Linked DNA regions of Xenopus tropicalis. The protein of the gene in region 1 binds, or shares a complex with, the protein of each later gene. Links are inferred from orthologs where the notes say so. Each region holds a gene or a part of one and is shown in the gene's direction. Other genes may lie near its edges. The genes, in order: clspn and chek1.

Region 1 (3,830 bases):
AACCAATGCAACTGGTTAGAGTGCAGGAGCAACCAATGAATTGGTCCAATATGAAATAAGTAAGGGCAAAGCCTGGACATGATGTAAGCATATAGGAAGTTCTCAATGTGGCAGGTTCAAAATAGGCCACTCCCATCCCTTCAGAAAATTGATTAGAGAGACAGAAGGACTGATTTAAAGGGGTGGTTCACCTTTAAGTTAACTTTTAGTATATTACAGAATGACCAATTCTAAGCCACTTTTCAATTGGTCTTCATTATTTATTTGTTTTTATTTATAGTTTTTGAATTATTTTCCTTCTTCAAACTCTTTGCAGTTTTTAAATGGGGGTCATGGACTCCAGCATCCAAATAACTATTGCTCTGTGAGGCTACAGTTTTATTGTGGTTACTTTTTGTAACTTTCTTTTTTTATTCACGCCCTCTCCTATTCATATAACTTGGTAACTTGGACCCTAGCAATCAAATAGCTGCTGAAAATCCAAACTGTGGAGAGCTCCTAAACTGAAAATGAAATAACTAGAAAACTACAAATATAAAATGAAGACCAATTGCAAATAACTCTCTACGTCATAGTAAAAGTTAACTCAAAGGTGACCACCTCTTTAACAGGTAAGAAAAGCATTGTTGGTGGTTTAGTAAAATTTAGACCCTGAAGGTGAACAACCCCTTTAATCTCTCTCATGTACCTGGCTAGCAAGGCTTTCTGAGCCCTCCTATCTTTCTTTGGGTTCTGACAGAGATCTGACCAATACATACATTCAGACATTTTGGCACAAGCAATCCTTTCCTCTGGCTGTCAGTACAGCACTAAAATCACAAGTGGTAGAGACACTGCCTGCAAAAGCCAATAAAAGTTTACTTTCAAAATGGTTTGAAATAAAAAAAAAAAACACACCCTTTGTGCAGGTTTACGTTAATTTTGTGTGTTTCCTTACAATTAAATTGCTTTACTTCTTTTGTCCTAATTATTGATAAAATTCCCAGGCAATCAACTCTGGCCAAAGTGTCAAAAATGAATTTGGATTCTTAAAAAATATCATCAGCATTTGGGGGGAAAAAGGTTTCTTGACATGTTTAACCTTATAACTCCTTGCCTGCCTACTTTTTCCTTGTTATAACCTATACTCCTCCATGCTGCTTTTCAGAGAACAAGAAGAAGGGGAGGAAGAAGAATTTGGTGAATTCAAGCTATTACCCTGTGATTCAGAGAGTGACAATGTGAGTTTCTTTATGAACAGAAAATTAGTGTACATTTAAACCAAAATCTTTTGTATCTTATCCAGTGGTGTATGTTGCCCACAGCTGCAATTAAATAGCATTTTAGCCACTTTGCTTACTGGCCAACTCCCAACCTAAAGGCATGTCACCAGAATGTCTGAAATTGCTTTTAAACTGCCAGTCGACAATTTTTTGGCAGTAAGGACTGCATGGTGGTGCTGACATTTTCAGGTTACTGCCATTGCTTGCAGTGACCTTTAAGGTCTTTGTTGGGCAAAACACTTGTGTGATATAGGCCAATGGAAACGTATAGCACAAGATGATAAAAATGCCTGTTACAGGTTTTGTGTACAATTTTAAAAAGACAGTAGTTATATAAATCAATTGAAACTTTTTGATACTCTTAACCTGCTTAAAGTGTTAATATATAAAAGCTGACTTTTGTCAGCTTTTTTGTTAAGGTGTAGCTAGATATTGACACTCTGCAATAACCTTTTAGAACTTGTGGTATTTAATGCAACTTGTTACAACATAGGATGAAAATAATGAAGAGGAGGAAGGAGAAAAGGATAATGAAGATAATGAATATGAGGAAGATGAGGATGAAATTCTGCAGCAACAGCAAAAGAGAAAATTGTAAGTAAATATTGTTATAGTGAATGGTAACTTGGTTATGAATGGCACAACAGTACCTCCTGTTTTGGTTATGATGGTAATAATGAGCATCTAATTTTTTAGCAGGTTTTCGTTTATTCAAAAGGGCTAATTCCAATTTCTGAAATATGCTAAACTCTAAGGGGCAGATTTTTTAGAATGAGTTAAGAGCTCAATACATAAAAACTCAAGTACTTTCTATTCATTCCTAAGGATTTTTAGAGGCTTATTTATGAATAGGTAAAAGTAAGAATTTGACCATTGATAAATACGCTTCTTAAAATGCCATAAGAATGAATAGAACTTAGGTGCGTTTTTTATGTATTAAGCTCTAAACTCACATTTTGATAAATCTGCCCCTAAAGGTTCTGTTAAAAGCATAACTCTTTACAAGGGCATTTGATTTTTAGAAACTTGCATTATGTGGTGGTGTTAAAGCGGCCATGTTTTGCCCACCATTGAATCAGGCACCTAAAGTTTCTTATTAGGCTAGTTAGGGTTCTATTCCTAGAACCCCAAACCTCACCCTATATTCTTATTGAAATAGTGGCTATATGAGCATCTTAAAGAGAAAAAAAAATCTCATTAATTGTCCTGCAGGTGAAGACACTTCCAGTAACTGCTTAGGAGAAGTTTGGAAAATTATACTAACACATTTCCTGTCATTACCTCCACTACTTACCTGTATCAGAGCAATTAATGTGCACATGTCTGATTGGGCTGGGCAGTGCATAGATCTGATAGACTGGAGGTCAATGAAAACAGTATCTTTAGCCTGTTGGTGCATCTGCTTAAATTTGCACTGTCATGCAAAATTGTTTTTAAGATCCAATTCGGACTGAGACAAGCCCAGAGAAACTCTGCTTTTGCTTTTCTTGCTTCGGAAGGGTAAGCATTAAGTTGCAATTTAACAGCTGACAGACCTGCAACACTTAAGATGTGTATTGCTTTCCCCTCTTTAGGTTAATGCCACACAAAGCGTATGGTGCATATTATGGGGAGTATACGCCCCATACGCTTAAAGATCCCCCTACCTGTGCCTGCACCCAAATTTATTGAATACGCTCGGGTGCAGGCACATGTAGCCGATATCCGACTAAATACATGAGAAAATCAGGCACATGTAGCCGATATCCGACTAAATACATGAGAAAATCAGGCACTGCCACATCTATTGATGCATGGGAAACCTGAAGGTGCTGCCATTTCTGACCAGGCATTAGCTACAGGGTTCCCTCAGCTTCCCAAGAAAAGAAAAAAAAAAAGCTGTCTTCATTGCATTTAGTATATGTTAATATGTTGTATAATTAGGGGTCAGTGTTGTAGGTCTTGTATTGTCCAGTGCTGCAGAACTTTGATATATTTTGTAAATTTGGTCTGTGTTCCAGGCGGCTGAAGGACTTCATGGAAGATGAAGCAGAATTGTCGGGAAGTGATGTAGGTAGTGGAGATGAGTATGAAGGAGATGATGATGAATATGAGGAAGAAGCCATAGATGAAGATCTCCCATCTGATGAGGAACTGCAGGATCAAGTCAATAAAATTCATATGTAGGTGCTTACAGTTAAATTGTTATATACAAAGCCTTGCAAACAGTTTAAATTGTTCTTACATGCAAGCAATTTGAATAATTAAACTAGTCAAATTGGTGTTACCCTGCTTACAAATACATGATTTGGGCTTTTATAATAAAAAAAAGGGACATAAACATTATCTGCACTTGGAAAATTAAATAAACATTTTATCTTTTTTACACAGACCATGATACTCATACAGTCAATTTTTATTCCTCATTTATGTGCAGTGTCATGCAATCCCTTCCCTAACTTTTTCCACTATGAGGTAATGGATCACTAGATCTTAATCCCCCCTAGATTCCAGTGAATCTGTGTACCAACTACTATATAAAGGAAGGAGGGGGATACATTTTACTGTGACCCAAAGTGGAGGTGGGAG
Region 2 (3,830 bases), on another chromosome or scaffold:
GAAAGCTCGTACAGCAATTTGATGGACACTTGTGAAAAAATGGGATATGTTTTAAAGAAGTCTTGTGCTAACCAGGTGAGTACCCCCTCAATAAAGCTTCTAATCATATGATTTTAGGCTTACATTTTCCAAAACCCCAGTAAACAAGAAAAAGCATATAAAACAAACAAAAATACTATTTATTGTAAACACAAAAAAACTATAAAAGTAAAAAGTGTACATTAGTTTCTTCTATCCTTGTTTTTAGAAAACAATCTTATTTCCTATGGGTCAAAAATGTACATACACCTTGCAGACTGTTTTTGTCTTGACGATTGAAGGATCAAAGGTGATCTTAATCAATCTCTAAGCTATTACTGTAAAATTTAATTTTTCAATAAAAGTTGATATGTAAAAGCAATAATGATAGGCCAATTCTAGTAGTCTGAAAAGATTTAAAGGTCTTTGAAACTTGCTCTTCAAAAAAGCAGTAAACGAAACGTAAAGGTGTGCTTTTTAATGTTTGAAATTTTTACATTTCTGTTGCCATTTTAACAATGCCTTTTGGCTCTGAGGTATATTTTGGGGTAATAGTTCTTGTACAAGTAATATAGACCCTTAAGATCTTTGGCTTTTCAACACAAGCAGCAATTGTTGAAACTGAAACCTCAGGGTGTTTACATTTTTGGCTGGAGTGAGGCCAGGGAAAATAGTCAGAATAACAATTTAGGTACAGGTATGGGACCTGTTTTCCAGAATGCTCGGGATATGGGGTTTTCCAGATAAGGAATCTTTCTGTAATTTGGATTTCTATAACTTAAATCTGCTAAAAATCATTTATTGAATAAACCCAATAGGATTGTTTTGCCTTCAATAAGGATTAATTATATCTTAGTTGATATCAAGTACATGGTACAGTTTTATTATTACAGAGAAAAAGGAAATCATTTTTAAAAATTAGAATTATTTGCTTATAATGGAGTCTATGGGAGATGAACTTTCTGGATAAATGGTTTCTGGATAAGCGATCCCATAGCTGTAGTATAATTGGTGGAGCTTACTAATTTTCTTTAAATCATAAATGGCAAATTAGGAACATGGCACATTTTTTTATCAGACAGCAGTCACTGGATACTGTCCAGAAATACTATCCAAAAATCAGTACATATAAAGGGGCAGTTTACCTCCTTTTCAGCATCTATGAATAGGGCTTGTGCTGAACATAGTTTCTGCCTATTGTTGTATTCAACACAAAGGTCTATGGGTTTTTTTTTTCTTTTTGTTATTCCTATGAACACCACGGGTTTACTGAACAGTTACCAGATACCAGATGTGTATAGGTTTACCCAAGTATGTGGCATTTAGAGGCCCATAAATGGTGATGAGATGAGAGGCTTGATAAAGGGCTGGATTGAAGCCTGAAATGTTGCTTTTGGCACTGTAAAGTTTCAAATTTTTTCAAAACAACCGGAGTGCTGCTGTTTTCATCATTTTTGTACTTATTTGCCCGGGCAGTGGGTACAGCGTGCACCTGGGGCTACAAAAAGCTATTTTCACTGTGTAAGCGCATGTTAACTGATTCTATTTGCCATATTATCTGTCATGTTACTGCAAAATCAACACATTGACAGCATTTTAAGTGGGGTAAACCTAGAAAAAAGTTCTTTCCTAAACGTCTTGATTTTGATGAACTTTCTAAAAATCACCTCAAAACTTCCAGCATATTATCTCCTACAGGTCATTAGGTACCCTAGAGGTCTACAGAACAGTTTGATGCTCACTGTACATAGGTTTATCAAAGCACATGGCCCTCAGGAACCCCAAAATATACCTTATGCGCACTAATTTCATGACTTCCATTCACCTAATCCATAAACACACTGGCAGTTTTATGTGTGGTACAAACTGCAAAAAAGTAGGGTGACCTCTGAAAGCCATATATTTTAGAAACAGCGCAAATTTTGTAAGGTTAGCGGTTCTGAAAGCATTTTTAAAAATCGCCTAAAAATCTTGCAATTAGCCTCATTTATCTTGCAGTTTTTTTTTACATACAAAGGCAAATCACCCCAAATATGAACACCAGAAGTCTACTGAACAGTTTTATGCCCAATATTCATAGATATACCAAAGTATGTGAAATGTACAAACCCCAAATTAAATATAAAGCATATGACGTTTTCTCGTCTGCCAAATGAAGTTTTCTCGTCTGCCAAAATTAATTTCTGCAAAACGAGCCCCATGACTGCATATTGTATATATGAAAGACCCCCTAACTGTACAGAAGCTTACGGAAAACAATATGTTTTTGGAAAGTACACATTTTGACAGTTTCAACATTGGTGTAAAAAGGCGTCTTTACCAAAGTACCAATCTGTCTAAAAATGTTGCAATATGACGCATTTATCTTACACAGTTTCTTACATACAAAAGCAGTTTACCCCAAATATGAATGCCAGAGGTCTCCAGCTTTGTTATCACATTTGCATACGGAGTATACAAATGAGACAAAATTGCAAATTAAAGGCCCACCCAAAAAGAAACATTACATTTCACATACATACTGTGCAAGTGCAAACACATATTTTGCATATACCTGTACATACACAGAGCAATGAATAAATAATTATGTGCTAGAGAATTAAATCAATTTTCTTTAGTTTACGCTACCTGTTTAACAAACCAACAATTCCTAATTTGATTAGGAAAATAGGAATTGTTGGTTTGGTATATCTATGCATATGGTGCTTCAAAGTATGCATTATGTAGAGACCCCAAAATGAAAAAAATGTATATGAATTTTCTCGCCTGCCAACTCAGCTTTTGCAAACCTGGCTCCCTGACAGCGTATTATGTGCCATAACAGCCCCTAACTGTACAGAGGGTAACTGACAGCAGATGAGAGCATGTGCTGTAAACTGGAAGAAAAGAATATTGGTTGCTTATGCGATAATTTTTTTGTTTAAAGGACTGTTATAATATGTAGTCTAATTGTTTGTTAATACAATTACATTATGAAGTAAGTTAATACAAGCATTATTAGTATACTTGTTTTTCAAGAAAAAAACTGCATCTGTATAATTAGGTACTTTGTTTTTGTCTACTACAGGTCACCCTATCAACTACTGACAGAAGAAATAATAAATTAATATTCAAGGTGAACCTTGTGGAAATGGAAGACAGGATTCTGTTAGATTTTAGACTTTCTAAGGTATATTGAATGCTTTGGGTTTTCTGTTACTGCTACGCTGCCAGCTATCTAAAAGTGTGTTTATAGTCGACCCCTTGTCTGCCTGTGGCTCGCAAGTAACTGACTACCATCACAGTAGATTTCTCTGTTCTGCGACATGCAATTAAAATCTTACACATGCAGTTTTGACTGTGTATTAACTTTCAGTGCAGCCATTGCTGCTAGAATGCACTATGTATTGCAGTCATTGGTTTTTATATTTATGTTCATGTATTAATAACATTGGCCACCTTTAGCAGTAAAGGGGGGTGCCTAACATCTTAACACCCCCAATGATCCTTACTGTTCTTATCCTTTTATAAAAATCTACTAAAAGTTTGATTATCTTATCTATTACTTACAGGTAAATAGGTTCTTATTTAGTATTTTTTAAATTGTACATATTGTGTACATATGAAAAATGCAGCCTTTAAAAGCCTTGGTTTATTTCACATAATCTCCTAGGATACAGTAACACTGGGGTATAATTTGGAGGCAGGGTACACATTACTACCTATGTCTCTACAAACTGCACAGATATCTTATATAATATACATAGTGCATAGTATGCTTAAAGGTGTTGACCAGTTCTACATTTCTCTGGTCAACAACTAACACTATGGCT

What was found.
Region 2: the proteins of clspn (region 1) and chek1 are in contact, whole or in part, in a crystal structure (PDB 7AKO), measured with the Homo sapiens proteins. The link is inferred for Xenopus tropicalis from reciprocal best matches to the Homo sapiens genes CLSPN and CHEK1. Residues at the interface, in NP_071394.2 of Homo sapiens: Glu938, Leu940, Leu941, Leu943, Cys944, Ser945, Gly946; in NP_001107593.1 of Homo sapiens: Lys53, Lys54, Cys57, Met61, Arg129, Thr153, Val154, Phe155, Arg156, Tyr157, Asn158, Arg160, Glu161, Arg162.

The regions. Positions count from the first base shown.
Region 1 is NC_030678.2:81,812,642-81,816,471, reverse strand, and holds part of clspn (claspin), read left to right. Parts: intron 1-1,147; coding exon 1,148-1,220; intron 1,221-1,755; coding exon 1,756-1,856; intron 1,857-3,262; coding exon 3,263-3,424; intron 3,425-3,830.
Region 2 is NC_030683.2:74,045,373-74,049,202, reverse strand, and holds part of chek1 (serine/threonine-protein kinase Chk1), read left to right. Parts: coding exon 1-75; intron 76-3,085; coding exon 3,086-3,187; intron 3,188-3,830. UniProt on the Homo sapiens protein: Serine/threonine-protein kinase which is required for checkpoint-mediated cell cycle arrest and activation of DNA repair in response to the presence of DNA damage or unreplicated DNA.